Saccharomyces cerevisiae S288C: one gene and its partners. The gene in region 1 interacts genetically with each later gene. Each region holds a gene or a part of one and is shown on either strand. Other genes may lie near its edges.

Region 1 (7,367 bases):
GGTGTAAATACACAGTATTTTTTCAATCCAATGTCATATTTGTTCAAATTTGTTATTCAATGGAGTCAATGTGGTAGATATGAGCCAATTCCTGCTTCTTTGACAAACTACATTAATCTCTTCGAAGTTTTTCAAGATAAGCAGAAGGCTTTATATATATCAGAATCTGCTTTGTCAACCCTAGTCCTAATCGGGCAAATAAACGTCGGTTTCTGGGTAAGAAACGGAACTCCAATTACTCACCAGGCCCGGATGTATACAAAATACAGTATGCGAGAATTTACTTATATTAGTGACATTTTCAATGTGCAATTTAGTATGGCAATGTGCAATCCTGATGAACTGATGGTTACTTACCTCTCAAGGTGGGGTTTGAAGCACTGGGCAAATGGTGTACCTATGTATGATTATCCTGATACAGAAACAACTGTAGCCGTTGTTAATGAATGCATTCTGTTATTGATTCAATTGCTTACTGAAGTGAGATCATTGGTCATGAAATCATCAAAGGAAGGCTTCGAGAGAACGTTCAAATCAGAAATAATTCATGCCCTTTGCTTTGATACATGCTCTTACGCACAAATTGTTAACTGTATTCCAGAACATATCACCAAGCACCCTTCATTTGATATATATCTCGAAAAATACGCCAATTACACTTCTCCTGTAAGCTTGACTGACAATGGCATTTTCGTGTTGAAAGAAAAGTATAAAGATGAGATTGATCCTTATTATATAGGGTTGTCTTCCAGTAGGAGGTATGATGTAGAGAAAAATATCAGGCTGAATATGGCAAATTTGAAGAAAATGAAATATGAAGATACTTTTGTACCAGCAAAAAAGGTTAAAGATTTGTTGAAGAATACATTATTTTCTGGGCTGTATTCAATATCATCAGTGAATACTTTTGGTTTATTTTTGAAAAATACTTTAGATCACATTATAAAATATGATTATGACAATTTATTGCCGAGAGTGGTTCATTTGATTCATTTATGCGTGGTTAATAATCTGAATGAATTTATGGGGATACTGTGGCATGAATACGCAATTGTGGACACAGAATTCTGTCATTACCACAGCATTGGTTCTATCCTGTATTACTGTTTGTTGAAGGATAATTTTTCGGAATCTCATGGTAAGATTAGGGAAATTTTCAGGTATTTAATGGAAACAGCGCCTCACGTAAATGTAAACAGTTATTTGAGGGAGCAAACCACGTCATATACACCAGGAATATTGTGGCCTACAAAGGAAGATAAAAGCCACAAGGATAAAGAATTTGAAAGGAAAAAACATCTTGCTCGATTGAGAAAGAAAAAATTAATGAAGAAGTTGGCTCAACAGCAAATGAAATTCATGGAAAACAATAGTGTAGATACTTCCGATATTAGTACACCCAGAACCACATCACCTAGTTTATCTCCCACTAGAATAAATGCAGAGAATAGTAGTAACACAATCAACAGTTGCTGCGATGATGATTGCGTATTTTGCAAGATGCCGAAGGATGACGATGTATTTGTTTATTTTTCATACCAAGAACGGAACATATGTGATCATGGAATTGATTTTACGAATCCTACAGATGTTAATAGAATAAATTCGCTGTTCAGTGGTAAGCAAACAAAAGACAGTGCAATCCAAGAAAACCCCCAGGATGATGATGGAACGAGATTGAAATTTACTAGCTGTGAACCAGTATTAAGAGCATGCGGGCATGGGTCTCATACCAAATGTTTAAGTGGCCATATGAAGTCGATTCGCGGAATACAAAACCAAACTACAAAAAATATTCCATTATCGTATGGTTCAGGGTTGATATATTGTCCCGTATGCAATTCCTTAAGTAATTCATTTCTACCAAAAACAAATGATATAGATAAGAGAACTTCGAGCCAGTTTTTTATGTGTATTGAAAAGCGAAGTGAAGCGGAAGAAAACCTTGACCCAATGAGCTCTATTTGTATTAAAGCAGCGATGATTCTAGGTGATCTTCAGGGTAAAAAAGTCACGACTATCGAAGATGCATATAAAGTTGTTAATAGTGTTTTTATTAATACTATTTCAAATACTGAGCTCAGATTAAGATCGCACAAAAAGGAAGGAAAAATAGTGAATATGGAAAGAATATCCAGTCAGTGCATTTTAACCTTACATTTAGTTTGTGAGCTAAAGTCGTTTATTTACAAAAAATTTGTTAATTCAAAAACATTCAGCAGCGAAATCTCTCGTAAAATATGGAATTGGAATGAGTTTCTAATAAAGGGTAATAATGTGAATCTACTTTTGTATATGAGTCAAAATTTTGATAATATTGATGGAGGAAAAACCCCGCAACCGCCTAACCTATGTATCTATGAAATGTTCAAAAGAAGGTTCCATCAACTACTACTGTTGCTTGCAAGAGATATGATGAGAGTAAACTTTTACAAAGACTGTCGAAATAAAATCAAAATATCATCAAACGGATCTGAGGAACCATCGACAAGCTTTTCATATCTATTCAATACTTTTAAAAAGTATGTTGATCTCTTTAAACCAGACGACGTTCGGTTTGATTTTACAAGTTTAGAGAAAATTAAAGACTTTATATGCTCTCTATTACTAGAGTCATTGTCCATTTTTTGTAGAAGAACCTTCTTATTATTCAACATTCAGTATGATGATGATGGTGATGGTGATAATAATAATAACCGCAGCAATAATTTCATGGACGTCAAACAGCGTGAAATAGAGCTTATTTTCCGGTATTTTAAATTACCCAATTTAACTCACTTTTTGAAGGATTTTTTCTACAACGAACTAACACAAAATATAGAAAGGTATAATGATGGTAATGATAATTTGAGAATTCAGCAAGTAATATATGACATGGTGCAGAACATAAACACAAGAGCATATCCTTCACCAGAGCATATCCAGCTTATCGAACTACCATTGAACCTTTCCAAATTTTCCCTTGATAATGATGAAATATCGAATAAATGTGATAAATACGAAATCGCAGTATGCTTGTTGTGTGGCCAAAAATGCCATATTCAAAAAAGCATAGCACTGCAAGGTTATTTACAGGGGGAATGTACTGATCATATGAGAAATGGATGCGAAATCACCTCCGCTTACGGAGTTTTCTTAATGACCGGCACAAATGCGATATATCTGTCATACGGCAAAAGAGGTACATTTTATGCTGCACCTTATCTAAGTAAATACGGAGAGACCAACGAAGACTACAAATTCGGTACTCCCGTCTATTTGAATCGGGCGAGATACGCGAATCTAGCGAATGAGATTGTTTTTGGCAACATGATTCCGCACATAGTGTTCCGACTAACGGACGGCAGTGCAGATCTTGGTGGGTGGGAGACTATGTAGTTATCCAACAAATGTCTAGTCATTCAAAATTGCTACGAAATTAGCGTATCCGAAAAATCAAAAGAAATTTTATCTGTTTTAATTGGCGTGGGGAAGTGGGGTAGGGTCGAGGATCATTACGCTTTCTCGTGGGAAGGGACAGGGACGGACCGAAAAAAAAAGAAATGCCGCAGAAAAAGAAATGTTTTAGTGTGGGGTATGGGCTGAAGCTCGTATAGTGCAGGGTGACTTCACTTTTCTTTTTACCCTGCAGGAAATGGAGAAAGTGTTGATGGATAAGGTATATAGTCATAAGGTGACACAGCGTGGGTGTACATCTAGAAAGCTTGGCGATTCGAGCGAAGTGGTGGTTTACTCGTTTTATAATAAGAGTTTTTGGACATTATTTTTTCTTTAGGACACAGTTGATTCAAATTCTACACTTGTTTTGTCGTCTGGTAAAGTTTAGCCATTGTAAAGTGGACAAAGAAGAAGCTGCAACGCAGATAAGCTGAAAAATAGTTCACATCCCAACAGACAATCAAATTAAGTACATGATGGACTCGTCAAGCAAAAGCTTAACTCAGTATATACCCTCACCCATGGGATCTCTATCAAGGCTAAAGCAGAAGGGTGTGGACAATTTTCAGAAGGTGAAAAAATCCGGTAAATCCATCTATAATTACAACTACTCAAAATTCGTTCCTCATCCATTTTCAACTATTGATGAAAGTGTTAAACACTCTGAAAGTGGGCGGTATGATGATTTGGAGATAATTCGTCCAACAAAAGAAAAGGAAGTAACAAGTTCTGTGTACAAAAGAAACAGTGGCAAGTCTCTGAATACAGAATCTCAGTTTTCACTGGGAGATTCAGATGCAGCCACTTTGGTGAATTCAGTCGCTACTTTCAAGCTTAACAATGCTTCTACATCCACTTCACTGGTGTCTTCATCTTCAACTGTATGTTCTCAAGCGAAGTCCTCGTTACGTTCCCCAACAAGTCGTCTCAATGATACAAAAATCAAAGAGGAAAACAATTATATTTCCAGCGTGAAAGACTATTGCGGTCCAATGAGAAAATCCATGGTAAAGACGGAAATCCTCATTGAAGAACCTTTGAATCCTACTACCGATATCAAGTCTTTTATAAACTCATACAACCATGGCAAAGCGTATAGTCTAGGTGAAACTCAACATTTACATTATTATCAGTTGCCATTCCCATGGAGGGAAAACAGATACATAATCCATGGCTATAGGTTTTACAATACCCATTCCAAATCTTTGTTGTCTATCTTTAACTGGTACGGCTGGCATAATGAAACTTCAAATATTTGGTCTCATTTGTTAGGAGCCATTTATATAATCTACTTGGCAATTTACGATTTCCCTCAGTCTGAAGTTTGGCGGAATTCCCAGGTTCCACCACAGGCTAGATGGATTGTTTTCATGTTTTTGGCAGCTGCGTTGAAATGTATGCTAAGCTCCGTGTTTTGGCATACTTTCAACGGAACGTCCTTCTTGAAGCTACGTTCTAAATTTGCGTGTGTCGACTATAGCGGTATTACGATCTTAATTACAGCTTCGATATTGACAACGGAGTTTGTTACCATGTATTCATGTTACTGGGCGATGTACACTTACATGAGTATTTCTCTGGCGCTGGGTGTATTTGGTGTGTTTATGAATTGGTCGCCTCGCTTTGATAGACCTGAAGCAAGGCCATTAAGAATTAGATTCTTCATTTTGCTGGCTACTATGGGTGTATTGTCGTTTTTACATTTGATATTTTTGACTGATCTTCATTATGCTGCAACGCTATTTAGCCCCGTCACATACAAATCTGTTGTTTGGTATTTGGTTGGTGTGGTATTTTACGGTTCGTTCATTCCTGAACGGTTCAGATCTGACGTTCAGGTTGATAAGACCATTCCAACAAACTACGAATTATCTACTGATTTAGAAATCATCACAAAGCAAAGGGAAATTCATTTTAGAGAGGTGCCAACAGCCCATTCCAAATGCAGTTCCTGTCCGTCTCATGCCAAATCATTTAAATCTCTATGGTGGGTTGACTATTTTGGTTGTTCGCACACTTTTTGGCATTTCTTCGTAGTGTTGGGTGTCATCGGCCATTATAGAGCTATTTTAGATATGTTTGCCAAGAGGTGGATTTTGTCATGATGGTATGACTGACTACCTTTACTTACAACATCCTGCACTTTTTCTGTATACGATAAACGGACTTAAAAGAAAGAAAAGCCTACAATTACATTGTTGGAGAAGCCACATAGCAATTTCGAAAAAAACCAGAAATTGTAAACCACGAATTCTCCTGTATTATTTCATTGTTAAAATTTTTTTTTTACTTATATTATACCCATCTTTTTCGATATTCCTGCTGGCATTGTTTTGGCTACATTTTCAAGAAACTTTGGATCCAAAGACAAAAGGAACAAACGAAATCTAAAAGCAAAAAAAAAGTTGACTGATTATAAAAACTACATTACGACGAAAAGAAAATAATAAAACTGTGTACTTTTAGTTTTGCATTTATGTATTGACTGTTATTTAACTTATTATGACCTCATGAAAGAACAAAACTTAGCGTGTATTGTTCTGCTCAGTGCCTTGTATATATAATAATGTTCATGAAAAAATTTTTCTAGGCCGAACTTAAGTGATTTCATGCAGTAGTAAAAGTTTTTAAAATTTTTACTAAAATAGTTCTGAGAAAGAAAAGGTAAAACACGCAATGCCTATCAATCAACCGTCGGGACAGATTAAGTTAACTAATGTTTCATTAGTGAGATTAAAAAAGGCTCGCAAGAGATTTGAAGTCGCGTGCTACCAAAATAAGGTCCAAGACTATCGAAAAGGAATTGAAAAAGATCTGGATGAAGTGCTGCAGATACATCAAGTTTTCATGAATGTTTCGAAAGGCTTGGTTGCTAATAAGGAAGATCTACAAAAGTGTTTCGGGACTACAAATGTTGATGATGTCATCGAGGAGATCATGCATAAGGGAGAGATTCAATTATCGGAAAAAGAAAGACAATTAATGCTTAATAAAGTTAATAACGAAATGCTTACAATAGTTAGCGCTAAATGTATAAATCCTGTGTCAAAGAAAAGATATCCGCCCACAATGATCCACAAAGCTTTACAGGAACTGAAGTTCAGCCCTGTTATTAACAAACCTGCCAAATTGCAAGCTTTAGAGGCTATCAAATTATTGGTTTCTAAGCAAATTATTCCAATAGTAAGGGCGAAGATGAAAGTCAAAGTGGCCATAAGTGAGCCATCTAGACAACCCGAACTTATTGAGAAGATTAGTAAATTGATAGCTTCATCGCCTGGAGAGTCAACGAAGCCGGAATTGGATCCTTGGACATGTACAGGTCTTATCGATCCTGTCAATTATAGAGATTTGATGACCCTATGTGATAAAAAGGGAACTGTGCAAGTCTTGGATATGGCAGTCATAGATAATACAACGCATAACTAATTTATATAGAATCACTTTGCATACATATCTTTGATACACTTTAACACAAAAACTAATTTGCCAAAATCATTATCGTCAGCGCTTTGTTCCTTCGTTGCTCTCCATATCTTACTGCTCATGGATATCAGCAAGCTGAATTGCATGTTGTCTTGGGCCATCGTACCGCTCACTTCTGGTAGAATAACTCTCCTATATAGTTCGGCAATCTGTACGCATACCACGGGTACTTTAGGATCGGCACTATCTCCCAACTTGGTAACCACTTGATAATCAGATAAATGGTCTCTTACAAATTCTTCTTCCTCATCGTCATAATCGCCACCCGTGTTTCCTAGGTTTCCTGCCAGTGGTACGTTGATATCGAGAATTGGGTTTAGTCCTTTTGAAGATACCTCATAGGTGGAATCCATTTCCCCATTTAGTCTGATTTGCAATAGAATTGTGTTATTAAAGTGCGTGGCTTGTACATACAATTCTTTGTTTTCGGATGAAGCGTTCAA
Region 2 (3,268 bases), on another chromosome or scaffold:
TATGATGTCTCTAAATAATCTTTATATTCTATCTGTTCGGCGGCTAACGCCTACGGGTAATAGCCGGCCTTTGAAAATTTCGCGGCTGCAGCAAGTACGCAAAAATCCTTATCCCTTCTAACGGTTCGAAAGGGGGAAGAACCAGAAATTTTGTAGTTACGCCGCAAATACCTGTATGCCCCGGCTCAAAATGCTCAACACTTATATGCTGACTATGTTCTATAAGGCTCAGGGTGAATGACCTTTCTTGAATTACAATCTGATTTCACTTTGCACAATATATACTATGTATTTTTATTGGAGCACACGACATTAAAAAGATGATCGCCCAGAAAAATTTTCAGCGGTGGCGGATTAATTTTTACTGTCCTCGGCAGCCCAAAATTATCCGTGTAGGATGACATAAAGGCTCAATGGCCGCTGCTGCTTCGTCTGTTAATAATATACAAATTGCACTAACTGTGCAGGGCAGTGATCGCAACTATTTACTTTTCGTAAAATTACCAAGTGGAAATTTCTGTTTCCAATTCATCGATACTTTTGACAAGGCCTTCGTGATCAAGAATCATGTATGAGCTGATAACACCCTTTTTAGCTTCTGATTCGAAGTGAATCTTGGCATATTTTTCAAAAAATCGGTCCTCCTCATGAAAGTAGTCTACTTCATCGGCCTTCACCCTTTTTTTGGATCTTTCGTCTTTGTTTTTATTCCTCTTACCAGAGTCGGTATCATCGTCAGTGTCAAAATTTACTTCATACTTCCTGGTGACGATGATATAGAAGTCATAATGTTTGTCATCGCCAAGTGCCGTGGCAACATCCTCCAACGTAATCTTGTATAAAGGTGGAACGACTTCCGGTGGCATATTAATCAGCCTTTCACTGAGAACCAAAGCACAATTTTTATTACCACTATCAATCATAGTTTTGAAGAAAGTGGAAAGTCTCATGTCCACTTTTTGTAAATATTTGACATAATCACTTAGATGATTAGCTTTGAAATCAACGAATGAAAGAAAACAGTATGGATCAGATTCTTTGCCGTCTGTTTTAATTGTGGTGGTTGGGGAACCTAGGATCAAATCTGCCAAGCTGCTTAGTTGAATCCTGGTACTTTCTTGAGGACCAAATAACTGACGCAGTAAATTCTTTAAAGCATGAAAATCAACTTCTGGGTTACCACCGAAAAAATCGAAGTCAATATTTACGATCTCTTCTTCTCCATTTTGCTCTTCTTCATTTTCTGAATCGGTGCTACTAATGTCAATTTCAGACTCGTCACTGCCATTTTCTTCCTCCACATTTTTTCTCTTCCTATTTTTTAAATCATTTAATTTGATAGCTTGAACCATATTTGTGAGTTAATTAGCAATCCTATGAAAATGTGGGCCTCATGAACAATCTAAATGATAAAATTATAAGGACATAATAGATAATATATTGACAACTCTTTTTCAGATATTTTTTCTACCTCAATCTCATCGCGAGGAATATAGGCACGGAAAGAGAAACTCGTATAAAGTGACCACGGATATCGAGAATTTGATAATTTACCCTTAACTGAAGTTATGGCACAATATCTGTATAAATTTTAATACATAATTTGCGGCAGGAATAACTGCAACAATACTCAAAGTTATTAGTGCTAGCCAGGCGATATTTTACATTAGGCTATTTTATTCCTTTTTCATTTCAATAAAAAAAGATAGTTTTTTTCGTCAACAATAGTTCAATGTCACAAATTGTATTTATTACGTAAAGTCCATCTCATGACAGGTATTCGAGTGTTAATAGTCCAGCACTATTAGAAAATGCATAACATTTGCCTCCAGCGCTCGTTTCATTCCATTTTGTACATGTTATATTAATGCCGTGCGCATCTATTTTAGCTTTACTAACATCGTTGACCGTCAGCGGATACACTTCATAAGAACTATCAATTCTATATTTGTCATCTTTTATGCTATAATCCCATTTCCAAAGCCTTAATGACTTTTGAGTTGCTGAACTGTTTTTAATGCCATGCAAAAGGCGCCTAGCTGCGTTGGTTATAATAAGACTTCCATCTGCTGATCCAGCAAGGACCATTGGATGTAATCTTGACACCCCAATGGCCGTTATGGTCGTCTCTCGCGACACTAAAGGATGAACTGCGAAAGCAGCCCTAGACGGCACAGCCCTTAAGGAACTTGCACCATCTGAGTAAATATACGAGTAGATTTGAGGACAATAAACAACTGGAACCAAATTACTTCCCCTGAATCTGGACACCGTGGTCTTTGTTGTAGCAATGTCTTTTGGATTGAAAATGTAAAAGTAGCCGTCCACCGCAACTGTACTGACGACTGTATCTTCAAAATCTGAATAGGCTGTTGAAACGGATAATATGTAGGAGTCATGGACTTGGTCATAAAATGAAGGCACTTCAGGATCAGTCAAGTCAAACTCTGCTACAAATCCGTTCTTAAAGCCACAAACAACAGTAGTAGGAGATAAAAAATCAAAAGTAGTTATCAAACTGTCTGCCAGGGATAAAGTCAAAGAAGGCTTCTCACACATCTTAAACACGTGAACATCGGTTGCATTATCAATAATTTCCAAAAAATTTATTGTCCCTTCCTGGCTTACGAATGATAAACAGCCAACCAGATGAGGTGCGTGACATCCTTCGTGCCATTTAAGATCCCACACTTCACCAAATGAGTGTACAATGGTTTGAACTTTTACGCAATGTAGAGTAGAAGTATTCATTTTGAAAATTTGTATACAGGAGGAGTGCTTCTCCTTGTCAAACATTTCTAAATGCTCGTTCAAAGGCTCATCCATGTACTGTGATACCGCGACGGCTAAATATTGTATATCCTTGCCTATATCAGTATTTTCCTCTATATTAAGCCATGCAATATCTGTTACCAATCCTCCTACGTTGTAAATAAAGCCGCGCCTTTTGCCGTTAGCAAGCACCGGAAACTCTATTTTATCGCCAGTGGATACCTCTGCATCAACTTCCCCGATAAGTAACTTCAATCTCTTCGTTCTCAATTTGATCATATTCTCAAATTCAGTCTTATTAATTTCATGATATACGGTTCTGTTTTTATCCCCTATGACTTTATTATATGCACTTTCCTTTTTACACGGTGGATCTAAGCATACAAAATATGGAGAATCAGGCTGAATATTCTTGAATGGGAAATCGAAAACGCTAGTTTCAAAGCCTTCCTTAACTTTTGCTAGCAACAATAACTTTTCCTTATTCAGTCCATAA
Region 3 (8,119 bases), on another chromosome or scaffold:
TAGCACACCGTTATAAGTGATAAATATATTGTCTTCGAATAACGAATTTATTAGATTTCTATGTATTTCTACTTGAAGTTAGGAATAGATCTTTCTGGAATTGTTTTCAGCAAAATTATGCTTAAGCTATAACTATAGTGAGAATCAAGAATATGTCTGCCAATGATTTCAAGCCTGAAACGTGGACTTCAAGCGCCAACGAAGCCTTAAGAGTTTCTATAGTTGGAGAAAACGCTGTTCAGTTTTCACCATTATTCACGTATCCAATTTACGGTGACTCCGAAAAGATCTACGGCTATAAGGATCTCATCATCCACCTAGCATTTGATTCAGTAACATTCAAGCCGTATGTTAACGTCAAGTATTCAGCAAAATTAGGAGACGACAATATTGTAGACGTGGAAAAAAAATTACTCTCATTTCTACCAAAGGATGATGTAATTGTTAGGGATGAAGCTAAATGGGTAGATTGCTTTGCAGAAGAACGAAAAACACATAATTTATCTGATGTTTTTGAAAAAGTATCAGAGTATTCGTTGAATGGGGAAGAATTTGTTGTATATAAATCGAGTTTGGTTGACGATTTTGCCAGGAGAATGCATCGTCGTGTTCAAATCTTTTCATTACTTTTTATCGAAGCCGCTAACTATATAGATGAGACTGACCCGAGTTGGCAAATCTATTGGTTGTTGAACAAGAAAACAAAAGAATTGATTGGTTTCGTCACTACTTACAAGTATTGGCACTACCTTGGAGCAAAATCTTTCGATGAGGATATAGATAAAAAATTCAGAGCCAAAATATCTCAATTTCTGATCTTTCCACCTTATCAAAATAAAGGCCACGGATCCTGTCTTTATGAGGCTATAATCCAATCTTGGCTAGAAGACAAAAGTATTACTGAAATTACTGTAGAGGATCCAAACGAAGCATTTGACGATCTTCGCGACAGGAATGATATTCAAAGACTGCGAAAACTTGGTTATGATGCTGTCTTTCAGAAGCACTCCGACCTTTCTGATGAGTTTTTGGAGTCAAGCCGAAAATCTTTAAAACTGGAAGAAAGACAGTTTAATCGTCTTGTGGAAATGCTTCTTCTTTTAAACAATTCTCCATCATTTGAATTAAAGGTAAAGAATAGGTTGTACATTAAAAATTATGATGCCCTAGATCAAACTGATCCAGAAAAGGCAAGAGAAGCTTTACAAAATTCATTTATTTTAGTCAAAGATGATTATAGGCGTATTATAGAGTCGATAAATAAATCTCAAGGTTAACTGTTTATTAAATATATAATAACATATTTATTTGTTTAACAAGCCTGAAATAAGAAATTCTTTTATAAATACATCATCGAGATGATCATCAAAGTGTCTCTATAGTTAATATAAGCTTATGCAAAGGTTGAAGCCGTTATGTTGTCGTAATTCTAAATTACAGGTTATATTAAAGAGATTATCTTGACTGATATAAAATTTCTTATCATGGTAGTGATCACAAATAGATCACATGATATATTTTTTATTTTTAATTTTTTTTAATTATAAAAATAATTTTTTTCTTTAAATTAAACAAAAATAAAAAATTGTTTTTTGTTGGTTAAGATTTCCGAAAATAGAAATATTATTCAGTTGAAAGACAAAAAAACATAAATATTTCTATGAGCAAACAATTTGAACAGAAAAATAAAATTGGGGAAGTGACACACCATGGTAGCGGTTCTAAAGCGAAATCGGCAAAGCGGCTAAATAGCAGTTTTGATGACTTACTCCACACTGAAAATGGATGACCTTAAATAGGAGATAAAGCTTTTTCATCCCTATGTATTTAAGATGACTGGCTTGTCAAGCATTCTAATCATAAAAAAAAGATCGTATTTGATCAAGAATTTATACATAGACGCCGCTAAATAATTGAATACAAAATGGTACAAAGGCTTCTACCGGGCGCACATATATGCAGAAGGTCCTTCAATTCGTCTGCAATTATAAAGTCTTCTGCATTGACTCTCAAGGAAGCATTAGAAAACGTGATACCTAAGAAAAGAGATGCTGTGAAGAAATTGAAGGCCTGTTATGGCAGCACGTTTGTCGGACCGATTACCATTTCATCAGTTCTAGGTGGGATGAGAGGTAATCAGTCAATGTTTTGGCAAGGAACATCATTAGATCCCGAACATGGCATTAAATTTCAAGGTTTAACGATTGAAGAATGTCAAAATAGATTACCTAATACAGGTATTGATGGCGATAATTTCCTGCCAGAATCAATGTTATGGCTGTTGATGACAGGTGGTGTGCCAACTTTCCAGCAAGCTGCTTCTTTCAGGAAAGAATTGGCTATTCGTGGAAGGAAATTGCCACATTATACAGAGAAAGTTTTGTCAAGTTTACCCAAAGATATGCACCCTATGACCCAACTTGCAATTGGTTTAGCATCAATGAACAAAGGATCCCTCTTTGCTACAAACTACCAAAAGGGCCTCATAGGAAAGATGGAATTTTGGAAAGATACTCTTGAAGATTCGCTAAATTTAATTGCTTCACTCCCGCTGCTGACTGGGAGAATTTATTCGAACATTACAAATGAGGGACACCCATTAGGTCAATATAGTGAGGAGGTGGATTGGTGTACAAACATATGTTCCCTGCTCGGCATGACAAATGGAACGAACTCTTCTAATACATGCAACCTTACTTCCCAGCAATCCCTGGACTTCATAAACTTGATGCGGTTATATACCGGTATACATGTAGACCATGAAGGTGGTAATGTTTCTGCTCACACCACCCACTTGGTTGGAAGTGCGTTGAGTGACCCGTATCTCAGCTATTCATCTGGAATAATGGGATTAGCGGGTCCTTTGCATGGGTTAGCAGCACAAGAAGTAGTAAGGTTTCTCATAGAGATGAACTCTAATATTTCCAGCATTGCACGAGAACAAGAAATCAAAGATTATCTTTGGAAAATTTTGAATTCAAACCGTGTGATCCCCGGTTATGGGCACGCAGTTTTGCGTAAACCGGATCCTCGATTTACAGCAATGCTTGAATTTGCGCAAAAGAGGCCTATTGAATTTGAGAACGACAAGAACGTTTTGTTGATGCAAAAATTGGCAGAAATAGCGCCTAAGGTTTTGTTGGAACACGGAAAGAGTAAGAATCCATTTCCCAATGTTGACTCTGCATCGGGGATTTTGTTTTATCATTATGGAATCAGGGAATTATTATTCTTTACCGTCATTTTTGGGTGTTCAAGGGCCATGGGACCCTTGACACAACTTGTTTGGGATCGCATTCTAGGTTTACCAATTGAAAGGCCCAAGAGTTTGAACTTGGAGGGTCTGGAAGCACTTACCAAAGCAAGCAATGTTAACAAGTTGTAACGCAGTTCCAATTTACAAGAATGCTTCGTTTGCTATTACAATATTGAAATATAAATAAAATTCCATACAGCATGTCTAATCATAGCTAATTTATACATATTCATCATGAAAACATATAGGGGAAAATATGGTCGGTTAACACACCTATCAAAAAATTATTCAGCAATTCCAATCTCGTTAGTAAAATATATTCTTATTTTTTTTTTTTTTCTCTGATTGTATTATTTCTGGAGTTTTGACTTATTTTTTTACCACATCGCGCTTTTCGTCCCCAATCTCTCTGATATATGATGCTGTCTATAGGTAGCCACTTCCCCGATGTCGGACCTCGGGCCGTTTACAAACTTTATTGAGATGACCTTATTTCTCCACATTCTAGTCATTCAACTTTTACCCTCATATGTTTACCTTCACTAATGTGAAAGCATGACCAAAGAAAGTGTATAAGGTATATAAATCTGCCATAATGTATGTATAACTTATTAGGACTTTCTCAAATAGTATTTTGGTATTTTCTACTGTTCTCTGATGATCGAGAGCAAACAGAATGTTTTTAGCCAAAAATCTAAAAAATAATAAAATCAAGGTATGCTTGCCTAAAAAGAAATTTGCTGCGCTGAGTACAGCGTCTATACAAACTAATGAAAGACCAAATCCAGATAAGGTTTTGAAGGACATCGCGAAATATGTCCATGAAACCCCATTAAAATCATCTTTGGCTCTAGATACAGCACGACTCTGTTTCCTTGATACTCTAGGCTGTGGCTTGGCGGCTTTGAAATTTAAGCAGGCTCAAAATATTATTAAACCAATTGTGCCAGGAACAATAGTTCCCAGTGGAACAAAAATATTGGGCACATCTTACGTTATGGATCCAGTGAAGGGAGCTTTTGCCATTGGTACTCTAATACGTTGGTTAGATTACAATGACTGCTGGTTAGCTGCCGAGTGGGGGCACCCATCAGATAACCTTGGGGGAATTTTAGCTGTCGCGGATCACTTGTCCAGATTAAACAAGGCTACCCACGGAAAGAATGGAAAACAGTTTCTTGTTAAAGACGTATTAGAGGCAATGATTAAAGCGCATGAAATCCAAGGTATTATAGCGCTCGAAAATTCTTTCAATAAAGTAGGTTTAGATCATGTGGTACTCGTGAAAGTAGCAACGGCTGGTGTTGTCTCGAAGATGCTGGGCCTGAGCCAGGAACAAACTATTGAAGCATTGTCACAAGCATTTGTAGACGGTCAATCACTGCGTACTTACCGTCATGCCCCAAATACTGGATCTAGAAAGTCGTGGGCGGCGGGAGATGCAGTTTCGAGGGCTGTAAACTTGGCTTATTTAGTCAAAAATGCTAATGTTGGCACGATACCTTCAGTATTAACAGCTAGAACCTGGGGATTTTATGACGTTTTATTTAAGGGTAAACCTTTTTCATTCCAACAAAGATCAAAATATGATTCCTACGTCATGGAAAACGTTCTGTTCAAGATATCATTTCCTGCCGAATTCCATGCGCAAACTGCTGTAGAAGCTGCTGTAAAAGCATATAGGATTCTTGCCAAACAAGGGAAAACTTTTAAAGATATTAAATCGATCAGAATTAGAACTCAAGAGGCGGCAATGAGGATTATAGATAAATCCGGTCCTCTGTATAATTATGCCGATAGGGATCATTGTATCCAGTACATGATCGCGGTTCCGCTGATTACTGGTAATCTCACAGCTACTGATTATTCGGATGAGGTCGCAAGAAATCCTGAGATCGATAACTTGAGATCGAAAATGTACTGTATCGAAGATACTCATCTCACTCAAAACTATCACGATCCTGATAAAAGGTCGATAGGAAACGCTCTTCTCATAGAGCTGAACGATGGGACGCAGTTGGATGAAATTTTTGTAGAGTACCCTGTTGGTCACAAATTTAGACGAGAGGAAGGAATACCATTACTAATGAATAAATTTCAAAGGCATCTGCGCGAACATTTTGTAGAGAGCCCTGATAAAGTCGACCTTATAATGAAGGTAAGTTCAAAAACAAACTTTTTGAATATGCAAATCGACAAATACATGGATTTGTTTACTGAGGGATGAATGGTTGGCTCTTTAAGAGCGAACGGCATGGTACCTACTTCAATTTTTAAAGACAAAAGGCGCCGTTTCGATAAACAAGAAATCACTTTCAAAACATAATTAAACCAAAGAACATGCGGTTTTCTAATTATGCTGGCTTAATTTTACTGGTATTTATCTACATAATAATAACTATTAAAAAATTAAATAATTGGCTCTATTTATTTTTCTTTCTTCAACTTGCAAGAGTTCGTCAATTCATGGAAAAATACAAAAATAGAAATGCGAATTCTGTGGATCGAACACAGGACCTCCAGATAACTTGACCGAAGTTTTTTCTTCAGTCTGGCGCTCTCCCAACTGAGCTAAATCCGCTCAATTTCTATGCTCTAACCACCTTAGCTAAAAACTCAATACAGGATTAGTTGATAAATGGGTGTTATCAACTCAATCCACAGTGTTGGAATCAGAGTCAGTTATCATCTTTGGGCTAGTATTATTGTAAGTGTTGGAATAAAAATTCTAAAATATCATCCATTTAGTAGTGTTCATATTACTAATATATCTGTTGGAATAAAAATCCACTATCGTCTATCAACTAATAGTTATATTATCAATATATTATCATATACGGTGTTAAGATGATGACATAAGTTATGAGAAGCTGTCATCGAGGTTAGAGGAAGCTGAAGTGCAAGGATTGATAATGTAATAGGATAATGAAACATATAAAACGGAATGAGGAATATTCGTAATATTAGTATGTAGAAATATAGATTCCATTTTGAGGATTCCTATATCCTCGAGGAGAACTTCTAGTATATTCTGTATACCTAATATTATAGCCTTCATCAACAATGGAATCCCAACAATTATCTCAACATTCACCCATTTCTCAATATCATCACGTGCGGTCTAAGAAGATGATATGAAGATTGAGAATAGTCATCAGGTGTAATGGAAGCTAATTGCAAGGATTGGTAATTTAGTAGGATGATGAATGACAGTCACATAAGATGAAAAGGAAAACAATAATGCCATTATATCGAGAATATCGATCTCTTCGTGGATTCTTCTCATAGAGAAATTCTAGTATAATATATATACGAAATATTATGGCCTTTAACAACAATAAAATTCCAACAATTATCAACTAATTCGAACATCTCTTGACAATATACATTATTAATTTTTACATTTCGACTTTCTTTGAATTAGGGACTGTCTCTCAATTCATCTCTTTCTCATACAGAATATCACTTATCCTATATAACTTATATAAGATTAGAATCTAACTAGAGCGAGGAGAGCGGAAACTCGGATCAAAAGTGATTGTTTAAGTGTTTGTGCGTTTGTGCGGCTCATTAAGACAATAAGGTTTTGCTTTTGTATTCAATTTTGTGGGTTTTATAACGTATAAATGCGCTTCTTGAAAGCTTGTTAACGATTTTATCGTAAAGAAATAAATAAACTAAAGAATTGAGGAGACAATACTGTTTTGATAAATAAGCCCCAAAAATATTATAGGGCCGCAAGGAATAAATTTCATAATGCGCATATGCCCAGACTCCTCTGTTTCTTTCGAAGTTTTACACTAGACTTGAATTAAATAAAGTATTGGACATAAAACTCTCCGAATCATTGTTCGGGACGTTGTTCCCTTTAATTTTCATTTTCTCAATTTCATAAAGAGCCGCATCAATGCTATCGAAGTACGGAGAATATGTCTCTCCTGCATCACTAAATGTGTTGCTAGTATTATTTTCGTTGTTATTTGCTTGCGCTCTTTCCACACTAGCAGCTACACCTGCTTTGAATAATCGCCTTCTTACTTTGTCATTTATAGATACATTGACAAGGTAAATAAAGACATTGCGCCTCTTGTAACTAGTGATAATTTCCTCCAGCACTTGGGCGGCTGAAGAATCTATTGAGGTCATCCCACCTAAATCGAAAATGACATATTTTATGGAATCCTTCGAGCGAAGTGATTTCCTTCCAGGATGTATCTTAGACGAACCGTACCTCTCTATTCTGTCAAGTCTCTGTTTTAAATCTTCGCTGTTTGTAAATGTGAGAGGCTCAGGTATTCTAACAATCATGCATCCCTCGATTTCTTCTGTGCCCTCAACATCCAGAGAGTTCCTTTTCATGTTCATCATGTAGTCGTCAAGATTCGTAAAGTTCGACGTTCCCGCTACCCTAGCCAGAATTTGGATTCTTGACTTTGCTGAATGCTTTATAATATTTATAATTGAATAGACACATCCGATGCATATTCCTGCTTCGATTGAGTAAAATATTGTAGTGCAGAAGGTAACAGCAAAAACAAATAGTTCACTAAAGCCACCACATCGCAAATGGAACTTTATGTCGCCTGGCACTTCCTCTAATAAACTAATTCCGATGATGGTTGTTATGACGGATAAAACACAATTAGGAATATAATGTACGAATTGAAGAAGTAAATTCATTGTGATTAGGGTGATGACACCCATAAACACTCCCGACATTACGCTTTGTGCTCCTGATAGGGCGTTGATCTTGGATCTTCCATATCCGCCGAATGCGGGAAGAGCACCGAATAATGAGATGACAATATTCATGAATCCTAAAGCTACTAGTTCTCTATTAGAGGAAACGGTAAGATTGTAAGT
Region 4 (9,756 bases), on another chromosome or scaffold:
TTTCCAAAGACCTTCCGCTTTATCAATTCTTTCCTCGTATATCAGTGTCCTCTAACAAGACTACCGTGCTTTTTCGTGGATTTCATGTAGGAGCCAATCGTTTTTAAGAAAAATTACTGTCAAGGTAGTTTGAGAAGAAATTGCGAGATATCACATGTGCGCTTTCCTTCTCCACTGATCGAATTACAGTAAGACTTTTAAAGATTCTAAGTAATTAGAATAGTTAACTGTTTTTTTTGTTTTTTTTTTTTTTCGTTCTGCTTTATTTTTTTATTTTTTTTGTGAGTTGCGAACAGCTTCTTTAATAGTTTTAAAGGCTGTATTGAGATTCTAGGACTCATCTACTATGTTTATAATTATAAAAAGTGACCAATAAAGCAGTGAAGCTAGCTCTTAATATTGGCAAAAATGCACGGCAAAGAGTTGGCTGGCAGGCTCCGGAAAAGGGAAAATGATAACGATTTATCACCAAATTCAAGCTCTTCTCCTGCTGAAAGATTTAGGTGTCCACATCCCGAATGTAATAAAACTTTCTCACGTCAGGAACATTTATCAAGACACAAGCTAAACCACTGGCCGAAAGAGATATATGTTTGTTCTTACGTGCTTCCTACTACAAATGCGCCTTGCAATAAAACGTTTGTAAGGAAAGATTTACTGATCAGACATGAAAAGAGGCATTCAAAGGTGAAAAACAGATTAAGTCGGCCAAGCAAGGACCAGATTTCCTCATCAAATAAGGACTTCTCCAAAAATGCACCATATAATCCCAGTGAAGTACCCCTTTCTACGCAAAGTGGAACTTCTACGATTAACTTAATAAAAAATTCTGTGAATCCACCACCATCTATCACACAAGAATCAAAATTTCGTCCTTTTCTTCAACAGGCTCAACAACCTCAACAGGTTCAGCAATCACAACAACCACAACAAATTCAACAACTGCAGCAACTTCAATTCCCGCAGCAACTGCGGGCACCATTGCAACAACCTATGTTGCAGCAACAAATGCATCCACAGCAAGCAAGTCCTACTTTTCCATCGTATGATCCTCGAATAAGGAACAACGGTCAAAATGGTAATCAATTTTTTAATTTGATATTTGATAACCGTACAGGCGTTAATGGTTTTGAAGTGGATGCAGCGAATAACAACGGTAATGGCAATGACCAAAATATGAATATCAATCCAGCCGTGCAGCAGCAACGATATCAAGACAGAAATTTTGCAAGTAGTTCATATCAGCAGCCACTCCAGCCACTTACCCAGGATCAACAACAGGAACAGTACTTTCAGCAGCAAAAGCTTGCCCAACAGCAACAGCAACAGCAACAGCAACAACAACAACAACAACAATTACCACCCCAGAATCCATTTGGAGATCCATTAACATCTTCCTCTAGCGGTGCTAATTTGTCAGTTATGCAGGACCTTTTTTCTACAAATTTTTTGAACAGCGACCCATTACAATCTTTCATGCAAGAACTTTCTGAAGCCCCGCAAGTAAGTATTGAAGATACATTTTCTGACAAGAATACAATCCCACCTAATGAAAAACCTGTTCAACAAGACGAAGGGTTCCAGAATCCTCCAGTTATGTTTGAGTTACCACAAGATAACATTAAAATTCCCAAAGCACAACCGAAGTTCAACGATAACCCCAGTACTTCAGTGAAGGACAATCTTTCCAGTCAGAAGCTTAATATCAACGAGCTAAAACGGAGATCATCTAAAGATTCAGGAGTAGGAAACAATTCCTCTCTGAACTACAAGGAACAGTTGCGTCACTCTATGAAAAGTGTCCCGTCATTTTTCCATCCGGATCCCTTAACAAAGTATAAGATATCAAAAGAAAAATGTCAAGAAATGTTTTCATTTGTTCCAGAATTACGCTATGTCTCTATTGAATCTATACACAAATCGTTAAAATCCTTCTGGTTGAACTTCCATCCACAATACGGTCTGCTTCACAAACCCTCTTTTCACGTTGATAAACAGCCTGCAATTTTGAATTTGGCACTAATTATGACTGGCGCAAGTTTTTTGGGAAGCGAGTATCGTGAACAGATTAGTGACCCAATTTGTGGTCCTCTAAGATGGATAATTTTTTCTCATGCTGATTTTCAACCACCTTCTAAAACCTACATCATTCAAAGTTTATTATTAGTCGAAGGATATGAAAAAACAAGTACGAACAGGTATTTACATGAAAGGTCTTTTTTACATCACGGAACGACCATTCAATTGCTAAGGCGAACGCCCTCTTTAGGCGGCCATCCCTTAATGGTCAAAACCGGCAAAACCTCTGGGGAAAATTCAATTCAAGACCCACAAGAAGTTTATAAAAGATGGATTGATTTTGAAATGTTGAAAAGAATAGCTTTCTACGCATTTTATATGGACACTACACATGCTGTAGTGTTTGGATACTGGAATTTATTTATTAATAGCAATCAGATTCAACTAACTTTACCCTGTCCAGATCAAGTGTGGGAATCTTATGATTTGAGCTATGAAACTCTGATGGAGCATGGGTATGGCAGCACAAAGAGAGATGAGAATAATACATTTTTGTCTGCGTTAATGCAATTAATGAAAAATGTCATTCAAATCTTACGAAATAATAATATACGGAGAAACAAAGTCAACAATGGTGGAATAGAGAGTACCCCTACAGACTTGGAAAGCACTACAGATTGGAATATTCAGAGTCTTTTTGGTAAAAAGATTCTTTTGGCGGGGATAATTTCGATCTTATTTCAATGTCAAGAGGAAGTTAATGGTGACTATTTCATTACTAACTTTAGGGGCGGAATCACTGATCATTTAGGCCTTTCATGGAAAGATATTTTATCATTTGCAATGAACTATTGGCTTCACGAAGTTCAGAAAAGCTGCACTGATCCGAAAGCATGTAGGATAAGTACTCCATCTGAGGAGACACTAACGAACAGAAAAATTGACGAGGATAATGGAGATGGACTATGTGATGATGATTTGGACTTGCTTTCCTCCGATAATCCGTCAAATTGTAAAATTCCCGTTATTCATATCTCTCAAATTGTCCTACGTATTCTTCATCATGATTATTACATATATGCAGGAGCACCTTGGAGAATGAATGTACCAATTGGTCGCGATGAATATGACATGATCAGTCGCAGGATTCTCCAGTTCGCTAAGGACCCCTACAATGGGGGTGTAGCTGTAGTCTATGCCTTCCAGTTCTTATTTGAAATGTTTATCATTAAGGAAAATAACGTTCCAACCGTAGTGAAGAGCTACAATATAAATTCTGATCCTGTGATTACTAGACCCTATGCGATTGCATTAACTTCACTCCTAATTTGGTCTTGTAATTTTGCATTACATGGCTGTGAAGTTAGCATATGGGATAATACAGAAGCCTCAAAGGATGAATGCTTTCAACCAGATGACAGCAATGGTGGAAACATTCTAGGCAATACTGATAATAATGGATCGACGATTGCAAACAACAATTTAAAGGAAAAGAACAATTACATTCCAATAGAAAGTTTTGAAGTTTACCTATTGAGAATGTATCGGAACTTATATGTGGATAGCTCACTCGATGTAGTTAGCTTTCAGAATGACGTTTGGGCAAAAGCGAGTTTACTTCAACATATTTCTAATACCCACTTTCTATGCGGGATGATGCAGTTTATGAGAGATATTTTCAACAAGAGCTACTGGGATTTAGGGCGCGAATTCGGAAAACTCTTCGATAATTGTTTGGAAAGGAGCCTAGGGAAAACGTCACCCACTTGTCATAACATGTTTGATGTTTAGTTTATATTCGTATATTGGTAAATCATCATATTTATTGTTAGATTAATGAAATGGTTATGAAAACATTTGTAAACTGCCAGCTGTGAAATTGTTAAATAAAATCGACACTGTATATAATTGCGCTTCATATTTTACATGTAAGTATGATCTATGTTTTACGTAGGAGAAAGAGCTTTCTTTATTGGTCATCCCACTGCAAGCGGTTATGAAAAATTTCTGCAGCATCGCTTTAGGGGAGTACTGCCGGCATGTTGGAAAAACATCTCGAAACATATATTGAATCTCAGAATTAACCAGTATTCGAAGCAAAGAAAAAAATATTTCGAAGATAGATAAATACCTCAAGACGAACCTGTCTTTTATATGTTAAGATTTGATATCTAATCTCACCAGACTTTCAAGTTTTATCTCACAACCTCGCGTTTGCCATAATTTTCGAAGTAGCCTGATCCCTTCTTTGTGAACATATTTCACTGGAAAAGTACATAACTTTCATAGCGTAGTTTGAAAGTATGCAGCTTTGCTACCGACCTTAAAGAATTATTATACTATTATGGAGCAAATCAATTCGAACAGTAGAAAAAAGAAGCAACAATTGGAAGTATTCAAATATTTTGCAAGTGTCCTTACAAAAGAGGACAAGCCTATTAGTATCAGTAATGGTATGTTAGATATGCCGACAGTGAACTCCAGTAAACTCACAGCAGGAAATGGGAAACCTGACACGGAGAAGCTTACAGGAGAACTAATTTTAACATACGACGATTTCATTGAACTGATATCTAGCTCAAAGACTATTTATTCGAAGTTTACGGACCATTCGTTCAATTTGAACCAGATACCCAAGAACGTTTTCGGGTGTATTTTCTTCGCTATTGATGAACAAAACAAGGGATATCTGACGCTTAATGATTGGTTTTATTTTAATAATTTATTAGAATATGATAATTATCATCTCATTATTCTATATGAGTTCTTTAGGAAATTTGATGTAGAGAATTTGAAGGCAAAACAAAAAAAAGAGCTTGGTAGTTCGTCGTTTAATTTAAAGGCTGCAGATGATCGAATTAAGTCAATTAATTATGGTAACAGATTTCTAAGCTTTGATGATCTTCTTTTGAATCTGAACCAATTCAAAGATACTATCCGCCTGTTGCACGAATCTATTGATGATAATTTTGTTAAAGATAACAAATTACTACTTGATTGGAATGACTTTCGATTTCTGAAATTTTACAAATGTTATCATGAAAATGAAGAGTATTTGAGTTTAAACTCTCTGGTCACGATTTTACAAAATGATCTTAAGAATGAAAAAATATTTATAGGTTTTGATAGGTTGGCACAGATGGACTCACAAGGGCATCGTTTAGCCCTAAGCAAAAATCAACTCACCTATCTTCTAAGGTTATTTTACTCTCACAGGGTGTCTGCAGATATATTTTCCTCCTTGAATCTATCAAACACCGAATTACTAAAAGCGGACAATAATTCCATTCCGTACAATGTATTCAAGGATATATTTTATTTATTTCAAAATTTTGACCTACTGAACCAAATATTTCACAAGTATGTTACTGAAAATAATTTGAATGAGCAGGATATTAGGGAACAAATAGTTACTAAAAATGACTTTATGACAGTTTTAAACGCCCAGTATAACAAAGTAAACAATATCATTGAGTTCTCTCCTTCCCAAATCAACCTACTATTTTCTATCGTCGCAAATTCAAAGGAAAACAGAAGATTAAGAAAGAGAAATCAAGATCGAGATGACGAGCTATTAAATGATCACCATTATGATTCAGATATTGATTTTTTTATCCATAATGAGTATTTGCATGGAGTAAGCAGATCCAGAAAAAATTTAGAAAGTTTTAATGACTATTATCATGATCTCTCGGATGGATTTGACCAAGACTCTGGTGTTAAAAAAGCTTCAAAAGCGAGTACTGGCTTGTTTGAATCTGTATTTGGAGGTAAAAAAGATAAAGCAACGATGCGTTCTGACTTAACAATTGAAGATTTCATGAAAATTTTGAACCCAAATTACCTGAACGACTTAGTTCACCAAATGGAATTGCAAAAAAATCAAAATGAGTCATTGTATATTAATTACTACTTTTATCCAATTTTCGATTCGTTGTACAATTTCTCCTTGGGTTCTATTGCGGGTTGTATTGGTGCAACTGTAGTATACCCAATAGACTTTATAAAAACAAGGATGCAAGCCCAAAGATCTTTAGCCCAATACAAAAACTCAATTGATTGTTTGTTGAAGATTATATCCCGCGAAGGAATAAAAGGTCTCTACTCTGGCTTAGGGCCACAATTAATAGGAGTTGCTCCTGAAAAGGCGATAAAATTGACTGTCAATGATTTTATGAGAAACAGGTTGACTGATAAAAACGGCAAGCTAAGCCTTTTTCCTGAAATTATTTCTGGCGCTTCAGCTGGTGCATGTCAAGTTATATTTACTAATCCGTTAGAGATTGTAAAAATTAGGCTACAGGTCCAATCCGACTATGTTGGTGAAAACATACAACAAGCCAATGAAACTGCCACTCAAATAGTCAAAAAATTAGGACTGAGGGGCTTGTACAATGGTGTAGCCGCATGTTTAATGAGAGATGTTCCATTCTCTGCTATTTATTTTCCCACTTATGCACATTTAAAAAAAGATCTCTTTGATTTTGATCCAAATGATAAAACAAAGAGGAATCGATTAAAAACATGGGAGCTTTTAACTGCCGGTGCCATTGCTGGTATGCCAGCTGCCTTCTTGACTACTCCTTTTGATGTTATAAAAACAAGGCTCCAGATAGATCCTCGAAAAGGTGAGACAAAGTATAACGGTATATTTCATGCTATCCGAACTATCTTAAAGGAAGAGAGCTTTAGAAGCTTTTTCAAAGGTGGTGGAGCCCGTGTCCTAAGAAGTTCTCCCCAATTTGGGTTCACTCTGGCCGCCTATGAATTATTCAAGGGCTTTATTCCCTCCCCCGATAACAAATTAAAAAGCAGAGAGGGTAGGAAGAGATTTTGTATCGATGACGACGCAGGCAATGAAGAGACAGTAGTTCATAGTAACGGTGAACTCCCACAGCAAAAGTTTTACTCTGATGATAGAAAACATGCCAATTATTACTATAAAAGCTGTCAAATTGCGAAAACATTCATTGATTTGGACAATAACTTTTCTAGGTTTGACTCTTCAGTTTATAAAAACTTTCAAGAGCACCTAAGAAGCATTAACGGGTGATTTATTTTCTTCGTCAGTTTCTCTGTACATATATATGTATATATTTACTTATTATAATTCATAGCAAAATATATGTTTTTTTTTTTTTCTTATAGTGAGAAAAATTACTAATGATCCTGAGATCAATTTCACTGTAGTTTTTACTATAGTGCAACAAGTATGTTGTTCTTAATAAGTGTAATGAAAGCTCTGAGGTCAAGTTTTCTTTTTTACAGAAAAGTTATATTGGCCTATTTCATAAATAACTGGCGGCAAGAAGCTAATGTAATATAACTCGATATCGCTTTTAATGCCATTGTATGTCATGAAAAGAAAATAAATAGAATTGAGATGAATATATATTCTTTTTTCTAGTTTTGTTCTATTTGTACATTGATTTAATTTAATTAACGAATATACAAGGGTTTTGCGAATAGATAGAATTAAAAAGCTTAGTGATGTTTATATCCCACTAATTTTCTTCTTCCAATTATTTCACCGACAGAATAAAACCCTATCAACTGAATACCATATGCGCCATATTTTAATAGTTCATTCTTTTGGATGTTTTTTAAACACGATAAAACTTCTGTAGGCTTTAGAGCAAAGTTTAGGCTCTGCTTATAAAGGTTCGAATACACTGATTTGAACTGGGCAACAGTTGGTGGTTGAAGACCCTCTTTTAAATAAATCTGTTTTGAAATCTCGGCACCGACTTTACCATAGTATAAAGCCTTTGATGACAAAAGATTTGCTTTAGAAACCAACCCACTGGTATAATTTTGGATCCTGCTTAGCATGATGAATTGATTAGCGTTCTGAAATATGATTTATCGGCAGGTTTATCTTGTCGATTTGGACTGGAGTAGAAAATATGAGGGATCTTTGCATCTTCATTTTTCGGTCTTTAAATGTAATCATCCTTCGGGATAAATTTAGTGCGTTTAACAATATTTTCTTTCAGCCAATCAGGAATAAGAAAAAAGCCGCCCACTCAATCGAGCCTACATACAGTATTGAATAGTGTTACAAAGCATAAGGATGTAAAAAATACAAACTTGCTATAATTAATTAGTATTTATTAATTGTTACGCAGGGAATGATTGTAGTAGACAGCATCAGACACGGTTATTCAGGCGAACTGATCTCCTTACACCCTCGCCAAGGACAATGACCTTGTCCTCTTGTTGCAATCTTGACAAGGCTTCCTGGATATCAGAAGACTCAACTCTATCTTGAGAGTGTTCATTGATTTGTTTTATAAGCTCATTGAATGACATTGAGTCTGATGCCTGATCCTTCAAAACATTCATAATTTCCCTTGACAAATCCTCCTGTAGTTTTCTCTGAATAACTGATTTACCTGTTTGAACTAAATTCATGTCGATTTTACCGGTTTTAGGGTCTGTTGCATAATCTTTTATGGCTGATCTAATTAATCTAACGGCTTCTTGAACATCCTCCAGCTCTACGACGTTTTTCAATTTCATTTTGGCGTGCGCCTCAGCCAAACGAATCATACTTTCAAGTTGTCTTGTGGTAGCTGTGATTCTCTTCTCATCGGATCTCGAATCGTCACCCATCTTTCTCATTCCTACATAAGCACGAACAAGCTCAGTCTTAGCGGCCTCGGTGATTATTGGGTGTATGTGCTCCTTTGCATAACTAATATACATCGTTAAAAATTCAACTGGTAGCACGTCGTCTTGAGAAATATGTTCGGGCTTATCTTCCAGGTAAAGATTTGTTAAGTGTTTGGCTAGTTCTCTGTCATTTTTCTCATCAACCTTATCAAGGACAAGATAGACCAGATCGAATCTCGAAAGTAGTGGGGGCGGTAGATCAATATTTTCAGTCACAGGCAAATTGGGGTTGTAGCGTGAACCAATTGGGTTAGCACTGGCCAAAATAGAACTTCTGGCATTAAGTGTTGTGATAATTCCCGCTTTTGCGATTGAAATAGTCTGCTGTTCCATGACTTCGTGCAAGACGGACCTTGTAGAATCACTCATTTTATCAAACTCGTCAATACAACAAACACCTCCATCAGACAATACTAATGCACCACTTTCCAAAACAAGTTGTTTTGTGTCGACATCCCTTGTAATATAAGCAGTTAAACCAACGGCAGATGAACCTTTACCCGAAGTATACACACCACGAGGAGTAATTTTGTGAACGTATTGCAAAATTTGCGATTTGGAAGTAGAAGGATCCCCACAAAGTAAAATATTTATGTCACCTCTATAACGGCCACCCTTGGTAAAGGTTTTATTCGTGCCGCCAAATAGCTGAAGTAATATACCCTTCTTGACATCTTCTAGCTCGTAAATACTTGGGGCAATAGAGCGGGCTAATAAACTGTATAAATCTTCTCTTGCCGCAACCTCGCGAATTTTTGCTAAATCCTGATCAGTAATTTGTCTTACTTCTTCGACCTCGTTATGATCTACCTTGTTCTGCATTAATTCTTGTTCAATAGTAGAAGTATCGACGTCTAACCTCTTATCTGAAACTTTTTTAACGTGGACCACATCGACGTATGTTTTATACAACGACTTTAGTACGCGTTGCCTGGAATTAGCTCTAATGGGGATGGACCTGAACGTGCCAGTCACCTCAATACGATCGCCCGCCCTGCAAGAATCCACTAATTCATCGTAAACACATAATGAGATAGAGTGAGGCGTTTGTCCATCAGGCAC

What was found.
Region 2: mutations in SDO1 (region 1) and BCP1 impair growth when combined (synthetic growth defect), as found in Saccharomyces cerevisiae (2 studies listed by BioGRID, with this or other methods).
Region 3: mutations in SDO1 (region 1) and CIT3 impair growth when combined (synthetic growth defect), as found in Saccharomyces cerevisiae (one study listed by BioGRID).
Region 4: mutations in SDO1 (region 1) and AGC1 impair growth when combined (synthetic growth defect), as found in Saccharomyces cerevisiae (one study listed by BioGRID).

The regions. Positions count from the first base shown.
Region 1 is NC_001144.5:183,674-191,040, reverse strand, and holds SDO1 (guanine nucleotide exchange factor SDO1), read left to right. Parts: upstream 1-6,114; coding exon 6,115-6,867; downstream 6,868-7,367. Other genes in the region: putative ubiquitin-protein ligase UBR2, read left to right, coding at 1-3,378; IZH3 (Izh3p), read left to right, coding at 3,912-5,543; IRC25 (Irc25p), read right to left, coding at 6,879-7,367. UniProt on the Saccharomyces cerevisiae protein: Involved in the biogenesis of the 60S ribosomal subunit and translational activation of ribosomes.
Region 2 is NC_001136.10:1,194,912-1,198,179, forward strand, and holds BCP1 (protein-transporting protein BCP1), read right to left. Parts: upstream 1,353-3,268; coding exon 501-1,352; downstream 1-500. Other genes in the region: transcription factor TFIIIC subunit TFC6, read right to left, coding at 1,768-3,268. UniProt on the Saccharomyces cerevisiae protein: Involved in nuclear export of the lipid kinase MSS4 and of the 60S ribosomal subunit. May also play a role in directing MSS4 to the plasma membrane. Plays a role in actin cytoskeleton organization and vesicular transport.
Region 3 is NC_001148.4:554,453-562,571, forward strand, and holds CIT3 (citrate (Si)-synthase CIT3), read left to right. Parts: upstream 1-1,924; coding exon 1,925-3,385; downstream 3,386-8,119. Other genes in the region: histone acetyltransferase catalytic subunit HAT1, read left to right, coding at 153-1,277; PDH1 (putative 2-methylcitrate dehydratase), read left to right, coding at 3,933-5,483; YPR003C (uncharacterized protein), read right to left, coding at 7,052-8,119. UniProt on the Saccharomyces cerevisiae protein: Dual specificity mitochondrial citrate and methylcitrate synthase with similar catalytic efficiency with both acetyl-CoA and propionyl-CoA.
Region 4 is NC_001148.4:597,965-607,720, reverse strand, and holds AGC1 (citrin), read left to right. Parts: upstream 1-4,363; coding exon 4,364-7,072; downstream 7,073-9,756. Other genes in the region: SDD4 (Sdd4p), read left to right, coding at 409-3,810; ATP20 (F1F0 ATP synthase subunit g), read right to left, coding at 7,504-7,851; MCM DNA helicase complex subunit MCM4, read right to left, coding at 8,170-9,756. UniProt on the Saccharomyces cerevisiae protein: Calcium-dependent mitochondrial aspartate and glutamate carrier. Transport of glutamate in mitochondria is required for mitochondrial transamination reactions and ornithine synthesis.